Nothobranchius furzeri: one gene and its partner. The protein of the gene in region 2 interacts with the protein of the main gene of each other region in a pairwise test. Links are inferred from orthologs where the notes say so. Each region holds a gene or a part of one and is shown on either strand. Other genes may lie near its edges. The genes, in order: gal and sgta.

Region 1 (4,460 bases), on a different chromosome or scaffold from region 2:
GAGGACGCTGTTAAAAATGCTGAAATGCCATGTTGTAAACAGTCATTTCTACTTCTACTATGGTGCAGTGTTGGGTGCATGCCGTAGAGCTCCATGCTGCCCCCTACAGTTTGGGAGAATATTGGCTCACCGCAGAGACAAGCCGCACGAACCATAAACGCTGCGAGTTGTGAAGCGCGTTCCATCCGCGAGCCGCATCACCGCGCGGAAAGTGAATGCATCAAGCATAAACCAAGCTTAACAGACACGATCTGGCTTCAGCACGGACAGCCGTTTACACTCATGTTTTGAACGTCTCTGGAGATCTGCTCCCATGGGAGCATTGAACGATGAGAACTTTGACCCAAGATGTTTAAAATATACCTGTAAATAAAACATGAGCAACTATCAGGCCGCTACCAGAGACGAGCAGCACATCAGACAACTTTGTCATCACTAATAAAACTAAAGCTAGCAGAAATATCATGACACGGGTTGTATTTTGAAATATACCGGAAACACATCTCACTTCCTGTCTGGCACATGTAATTTCTTCTTCATGAATATTCGCATTCGGCTCTCAGACAAAAACAGAAAACACACAGAGACTCTGGAGCTCATTATCCGGATCTGCACTGCGGCCGGTGTGAATGCCGGACCGAGTCAGGACCTCACTCCTTCTGCATTTGGTGTGGATGAGGTTTGAGTCTTCCCATGCACAGATTTCTTCTCACACCCAACCATCTGTCAGAAGTCTTGGCGTGTCCTAACAGCTGCGTGGTGTTGTAAAAGAGCTGAGACATCACAACCTTTCATTTGTGCCTGGATCCTATTGTTATGGTCCAAGTTTCCTAAAATGGTTTGATGGTTTGCATCCTACAGTGCACTGCTTGCTGGTGCTCTAGTTGTATACTCTATTGTTTTGTTTTTTTACTTTTGCTGCTTTTTACCTGAACTGTCTGCTTTCAGCTGTGACAATGCACACGTCCCACTGATGGGACTAAAGAAGGATTATTTTATGTATCTTATTTTATAATCACCCTCGGAGCACCCTGAACACCTTTACTCTGTCCCTGAGAAAAAACCTTTGTTTGATTGCTATTTAATCAATATCTGCATCAATAACATGTCATCAAACCACACACGATGAATTAAAAGTGTAACGTTTTCATATTTATAATGTTTCTGTGTTCATTTGTTTTCTTCTCTCTACGGTTTTATTTATTACCTGAAACTTAATTGAACACCTCCTGAGGTCATTGTGGATTGATAAATGTAGATAAAACCCAGCCATGTCTCCACAGACACCGAATCACCGCAATCAAAATGGATTCATAACATGAAACAGCTTCAGCTCCTTCAGAGAGCCGCTGCGGTAATGAGCCCAGATTTAATCTCAGGTCTTCGAGAGCGAGGAGGACAAACCTGATGTGGCTCCTATTGGTGTGTTTGTGTGTGTGTATGTGTGTGTGTGGTGCTGACGCTAGCAGGCAGCAGCAGGGACGGGCTCCAAGCTCTTTAAAAGCCGGACCGAGTCGTGGCTCCAGCCAAACTCACATCAACTCTCCACTCAGTTCCACACGTGACGTCATGGTCCCGACGAAGGTAGGTCTACCTGTGGCAGGTGGCTTCCCGTCCAACCTGCTGTCTCCAGCAGCTTTTTAAAAAGTCTCTACTTTTTCAGATGCAGAGGTGTTGCAGTCTTTTTTGCGTGTCTCTTATTTTTTGTGCAACCCTGTCCGAGACCATCGGGCTCGTCATTGCGGTAAGTTCCTGCGTAACTTAGCAACTTAGGGCTCAGAGTGGTCAATGAGAGGATAACTGCTGAGGAAAACTATCATTTCAAACTATTGGATTTAAATAACTGCAATTAAATAATAAAACAACTTTATATTTATGAGAGTTAGAAAACAGCACAGTGCTTCAGATAAAGAACTAAAGCTCTTATTAATGTAATAAATGGTCATAATGCAAAGATGTTTATTAGAATTAAAGCTTTTCTTTAGAAAAACTCTTGATTCCGTGAGGAAATCTGCAAGATTCGTTCATTGTCACATTTTCCATCCCTCAAAGGCTCTGAGACTGGAAATGATAGACAAACATTTATAAATCTATATTTGTTATTTTTACTCTATAGAAGAAGAAGGAGATATAGTGAGCCCAAGGGTGTCGAAGGTTGATGTGTGTGTGTGTGTGTGTGTGTGTGTGTGTGTGTGTGTGTGTGTGTGTGTGTGTGTGTGTGTGTGTGCGCACGCACACAAAAAAAGGGGAAAGCATGGAATAAATTTAGTTGGAAGAGCGTGAGCCTCTGAGGGAGTGTGTCCAAACCCATGATCTCTGAGTCTTTACAGACTTTTAGAGCCAAGAGTTTCATTGTATGAGGGGTGATGTTGCAGGAGAATATTTAACTTAATTAGCAATGCGCCGATTTGAATTTTTGGGCCGATACCGATAGCCGATATTAAGATCACTGTTATGACCGATAACCGATATTTTCCGATACCGAAATTCTGACATTAATGCTTCTAAAATCAACAGATTTTGTATGGAATGAAAATGATTAAAGCTGAATTTACGTTATTATGGACACATGCCACACACATTTATGGTTTTGAGATTATTTAATTCACTGTTCACATGACTAAACAATTGCACATCACCCCCCCCCCCCCCACACACACACACACACCCTCTCAAACAGGCAAACAAATGGAGATGAGATGGAAAAAATATTGGTTGTTGATATCGACCCGGTTTTATTTATCGAACCGATACCGATATGTTAAAAAAGTACTAACATCGGCCGACACTGATATTGATGCCGATATATTGTCCATCCCTACTTTAAATAAGCTCACTGTAATAGTTAAGGAGACTTGTAAAGAGAAAGGAGAACAGAAGACAAGACGTGGTTTCTGTTTCAGGCAAAAGAGAAGCGCGGTTGGACTCTGAACAGCGCTGGATATCTGTTAGGTCCTCGTAAGTACAAACCACACACACATACAGTTTTCTGTGTAACACACAGCTCAAAGGGGACGGTGGAGCTCATCTCTGTGTTGGTGTGTCCATGTCCACTGTCTCCACTGTGTGTGTTTCAGCTAATGAAGTCTGATTTAGACATTACCTTATTAGCCAGAGGGCACGTTAAGTTAACAATGAGTTTCCAGATGTGTGTGTTTTTACAAGTTTGTGGAGGTACAGGTAGTCCAGAACACAAATCCTGGACCCTGAGCCGTGTGTGCGTGTGTGTGAAGACCAGGTAAAGGTTGCCCCTGCCTCATCCTGTGTTTCAGGTCGTATTGATCACCTAATTCAGATAAAGGATTCCCCCAGTGCCAGAGGCAGAGACGAGCTGGTCGCTCAATGTAAGATAGAAACATCCAGCTGCTGCAGGGCCTTGGTGTCACACCAGGAATTGCTCTGTTCAAATATTATCTGTTTGTGTTTCTCATCGCCTAACATCTGACCCTGCTGCCCTGTGCTTCTCTGTGACCCGGCTGCATTTCCAACTTTCATCATGTAATTACTCAGAGGAAGGTGTGAGTCTCAGTGGAATGGTTTCTGGCGTCGTTTGACAATAACGCACACACACACACACACACACACACACACACGCACGCGCACGCACGCACGCACGCACGCACGCACGCACACACACACACACACACACACACGCACGCACGTACACACACACGCACGCACGCACACACACACGCACGCACACACGCACGCACGCACGCACACACACACACACACACACACACACACACACACATGTACACGCACACAAGCACACACGCACATGCGCGCGCACGCACGCACACACACACACACACACACACACACACACACACACACACACGCGCACACAAGAGCCAGTTAGGCCAGACTACAGGTAACCAATCAGCAACAAGTAACATGTTTTCACAAGCAGGTGACCCTTTAGTTCTAAGAGGGAGGCTTTAATCTGCTGACATTGAAGGCATTTCTAAGGATTGCTGCTGTGCCTGCCGTGCATGACGTCACCATTCCTAACGCATCACTTATCTCCTGGTCCCACGCGGCTGTGGACGTATTCCCACAGCGATCACATGTAGTTAGAGTGGGGCAAGCAACCCAATGGGAAGGAGCAGAGTTTCCCCAAACCAGCAAGGCTGCCAGGGAGGGAACCGGTGCCATCCCCCTATGATGGTAGAGGGAGGAGAACTTTCATGTAAAAACCGTGAAACGCGGAGCACTATATTATCTTGTATGTCCATAAACAGCAACTGTATTCAAGATGGAGCATGTGGAGCGTCACCCACAGTTTATATTTGTACACAGATGTGTAATTTCAAGCTAATAGGAGTGTTTAGAATAGACTTTGGTGAGAATTATTAATGAAAAGGACATGTTTGTGAATGTGATACACAAAATGGATTCTAAACAAGTACAAATATTACTCTGTGGCCTTAATGTTGTGGCTAGCTCAGAGTTTAGAC
Region 2 (3,820 bases):
GCTCCATGAATCAGCTGCATGGATCCATCAGCTGAGATCCCACTGGTTTCTGTGGTTCTGGCCATTACAGTCATCCCCAGGGTAGAAGACTGACCTGTTGCAGTAGTAGACGGCATTCTGAGGATTCATACTGATGGCCTTTGCGTAAAACTCCACAGCTGCTGCAAAGTTCTCCACCTTCATCTGGTCATTTCCTGCAGGAGGAACCAGACGCCATTCATCAGCTCATAAACCACAAACAGATCCCAGAGCACCGGCAGAACCGCTGTTGGCTCACTTGAACTCTGATCTCCCAGTCCCAGTCTTTAGTCATACCAAAGACCCAATGCCTCCCTGCTTGACACGCAGCTTTAAAGAGCAAGTCACCCCCAAATCTACGTTTTTGCAGATCCACTGTAGAACCGAGTGTCTAATCGTGCTGCAGACACGTGCAGTCCATAATTTGGCACTTTAGTGCATCTTAGTTACATTTAAAGGTTCTGCTCAAGGCCTTATTTCATCAAATGGATGAAAGTAGGTCGTGCCAACCCGACACCAGGAGATTATGAATATCTCTCAGCTTGAGCATTATCCATGTCACAAGACACCTCTGAGGACACAAGACTCTTTGAATAGGGATCTTTTCTGGCTCATAACATTATTTCCTAACTTTACAAGGTATTACAGTCATATATGTTATGAGTAAATGTGTTTTAATAATGCCGAATGCTCTACAGTAAATGTTTATTCCTATAATGATTTATTCCAGATCTTAAATGATACCAGATTAGTCTACTTTGTTGATCAGTATGGTCACACATTAATAATATTATTATGAATTGTCGAGTCAGGCTCGAGAAGCAGTAGGAACCAAGATGGAAGCACCAGGGGGACTATAAAAGCGACGGGATCACTGTGGGTGCGCTAACACCTACAAGGAAACAAGTGATCCGAAGTGTTTATATCGTCTGAAAAAGGGAAAATAATATTTATAATCCCAGAGAGGCAGCCGGCTTGTCACCTGGCGCTGAAGCATGTGCTAAAGCTGCCGCTAACGCTACCACTGATTTGGTCAGGGACTAATAAAAACGGTGAAGAAAAGGGGAAGCGTTGCCTGGTTGTGAAGCCTGATATGAACCACCTGAAAGAGCTGGTAAAGGCTGCGAGAGGGCGTATGGTGAGTGGAAGAAAAGCATTCCTTCAGATGTTCAGGTCTCCGAACACACATCCCAAACACGGAGCTTCAGCTACCAAGGCTGTCTAAAGGCCAGCTTCATTCAAGCACGGATAAAGGAAGACACTGAAGACAGAAACAGGTGACAACAACGGGAAATCCTATCATAGCAGTTATTACATTCAAACCCACCTCTCTCCCCACGGTTTCTGATACCTAAGGGGATCTCCACCGATGGAAAACAGATTGGGAAGCAAGGTCAACCCGTTGGCTCAAAAGAAGTGAAGAAGGTCCAATTGCTGGACAGCCTTGATGATCAAATGACAAAAGACCTCCACCTCACAACGTATAGCACTGCAGATTGCACCTTTGGCGTTCTGGAGAACAGCCACGGAAACCAAACATCTGCTGCTATCCCAACAGTGGAAGGGAACTCCTCCTGTTAGAAACCACCATCCAAGGAAGACACTAGCCTGGCCCGCCAGACTCCTCCTCTGGTTAATGCTGCACAGAGAAAGGGTCTGGGAACGCTCCGATTCAATTAACCCCGCCCCCTGAGGTCTCTAACGAGCCGATCAGCACTGAGCATACGTCACACACCACAACGCCGAGTTTGTCATAAGCATGGCGACTGAAGCGGAGTTGGCCGCGGCTCTTTCCTCTGGTCTAAACGACTTGGGCATGTCTTTAAAACAACAAGTAGAAGCGCTAAAAGCCTTTCTTCTAGAATAAAAGACGTTTGTGCCGTCGCCAGACGCCTTTTGTTACTACAGCAGTACAGTCGGCATTTCCTCTGTTTTCTGATTGGTCGTTGTTGAGCTGCCTAGTCGGGCCGCCCTCGTGCCGTTGTGCCTGAGAGGAACCAGACTCTTTCTCTGTGCAGAGGACGAGTCCGCCAGGCCTGGAAGATGGTGGAGTTGATACAAACTGTGGAGAAGGTCTTGGAAGTATAGATGCCATAAAGAACGCCCTTGTCACAACATCTACTGTAAGTTAACTACCAGATACACTTAAAAAAGGCTTGCAATTCAAGCATTTTCAAGGATTTCAAGCACTGCATTACAATTTAAATCTGCCATCGCTATTGGCTAAGAGGTACATTATGATGCAACAATGCCGCTGTGGGCCTGTGTGTGACCGGCGGGCTGCCAGGCAACAACATCAAACAGGAAGTGAAGTAAGGCTCTGGTAGGGGGTGACTTGCTCTTTAAGGGGTTGGATCAGGAGCTTAAACCACCGGATACAGCCACAGCTGGGTCAACGGTGGAGATGCGGTCTATTCCACCAGTGCGTGATGACTAATGGGACTTTAAATGCACTCCACCTGGATGCTTTAAAACACCTCAACTACAGCACAGGCGGAGTCTGAAATGTGGGATTTCCACAGCAGCAGCAGCTTCACAGCAACTTTCCTCCAACCTGAAGATGGACCAGAGCTGCTGGTAGGACAGAGAGTTGGCTTTGACAGGGAGGAAGTCAAGATGTGCTGACGATACTAACAATGTTCACGTGGGTTTAGGACAACATCGGCGGGTACAGCGAGTCCAGCGTGTTGCAGCTCTTGGTTCTGAACCAGGTTGGGTTAGCGCGCACACCCAGGACCTGAAGCGGGACTCACCGTCACTTTTCAGCCGCTCGGCTTCAGCTTTCTGCTCCTCTGTGGGCAAACTGGGGCTGGAGTTGTTGGCCTGCGGTTGAGCTGGAAACTGTTGGGACACAAAAACGGCATCAGACCGGACCCAGAAACACCAAAATCCAGAAGTGGAGCTCGTCACACACCTTGGCTGTGGCTGCGGTGAAGATCTCGGGTAACGTCAGCGGGACGGCGAGACTCTGGTCATCGGTGGAGATTTCAAACGCTGTCTCCAAACACTGAGCAGCAACTGAAGGAGATGAAGAGAACCCCGAGAAGTCCTGAAGCTGCTTATTTCTCTTTACTGTCTTCAGAATAAAACTGCAGCTTCGGAGGCCCTTCCCCCACCCGCTCAGCGCTTTAGGGCAAGCCATTTGGGTATTTCTTCAATATCTCTGGCATCAAGTTTTATCTTGCTCAATTAGACACGTCAGAATGATGAAACTCACCTTCTAGGCTTTCCTGAGCATCTGGGGTCAGATTCCCCGACTGGAGCTGGTCATGGAGGAACCGAATGATGGAGAAGGCGAGACGCTTGGTGTCCGTCATGATGGTGGAGAGTGAGTGAGTGAGAGAGACACCTGGAACACAGGTGAGTCCAGCTGTGGTTTAGAAACACGAGCGATTCCAGCTGAACCCTAAAGCTCACCGGCTGGCTCCAACACAGCACCTGTAATGTAGCCGGTGTTGTGCTGAAACTGGCACCTCCACCAGTTCCTCTCCGACAGCACCTGTGGGCCAGTGCCACTTAGAGAGAGGTAAAAGGGCTGCTTGGTTTACGGTTAACTGGTTAATAACCGTTAAGGCTGGTTAAAGAGCTTTGGTAAAGGAGCATCGCTAGTGTGTGGACGTCAGAGTGGTTTATATGATATATTTATAATCATTAGCCTTTCATCATCATTAATATAGTAATAAACAGATTTTATAAACTACATTTTTGTCTCTGAGTCAGATTATTATAGTGTTGTTTCCCCGATTAACCAAAGTACCGAGTTTCATCATCGAATATTAAAGGATCAATAATCCTGATAATC

Evidence for each region.
Region 1: the proteins of sgta (region 2) and gal interact in binary tests that used the Homo sapiens proteins (3 or more experiments, as listed by UniProt). The two-hybrid records come from large-scale screens. The link is inferred for Nothobranchius furzeri from reciprocal best matches to the Homo sapiens genes SGTA and GAL.

Annotation. Positions count from the first base shown.
Region 1 is NC_091754.1:40,202,256-40,206,715, reverse strand, and holds the start of gal (galanin peptides), read left to right. Parts: upstream 1-1,490; 5' UTR 1,491-1,569; coding exon 1,570-1,584; intron 1,585-1,663; coding exon 1,664-1,744; intron 1,745-2,903; coding exon 2,904-2,958; intron 2,959-3,272; coding exon 3,273-3,344; intron 3,345-4,460. UniProt on the Homo sapiens protein: Endocrine hormone of the central and peripheral nervous systems that binds and activates the G protein-coupled receptors GALR1, GALR2, and GALR3.
Region 2 is NC_091748.1:79,902,040-79,905,859, reverse strand, and holds part of sgta (small glutamine-rich tetratricopeptide repeat-containing protein alpha), read right to left. Parts: intron 3,368-3,820; coding exon 3,236-3,367; intron 3,037-3,235; coding exon 2,933-3,036; intron 2,860-2,932; coding exon 2,772-2,859; intron 195-2,771; coding exon 95-194; intron 1-94. UniProt on the Homo sapiens protein: Co-chaperone that binds misfolded and hydrophobic patches-containing client proteins in the cytosol. Mediates their targeting to the endoplasmic reticulum but also regulates their sorting to the proteasome when targeting fails.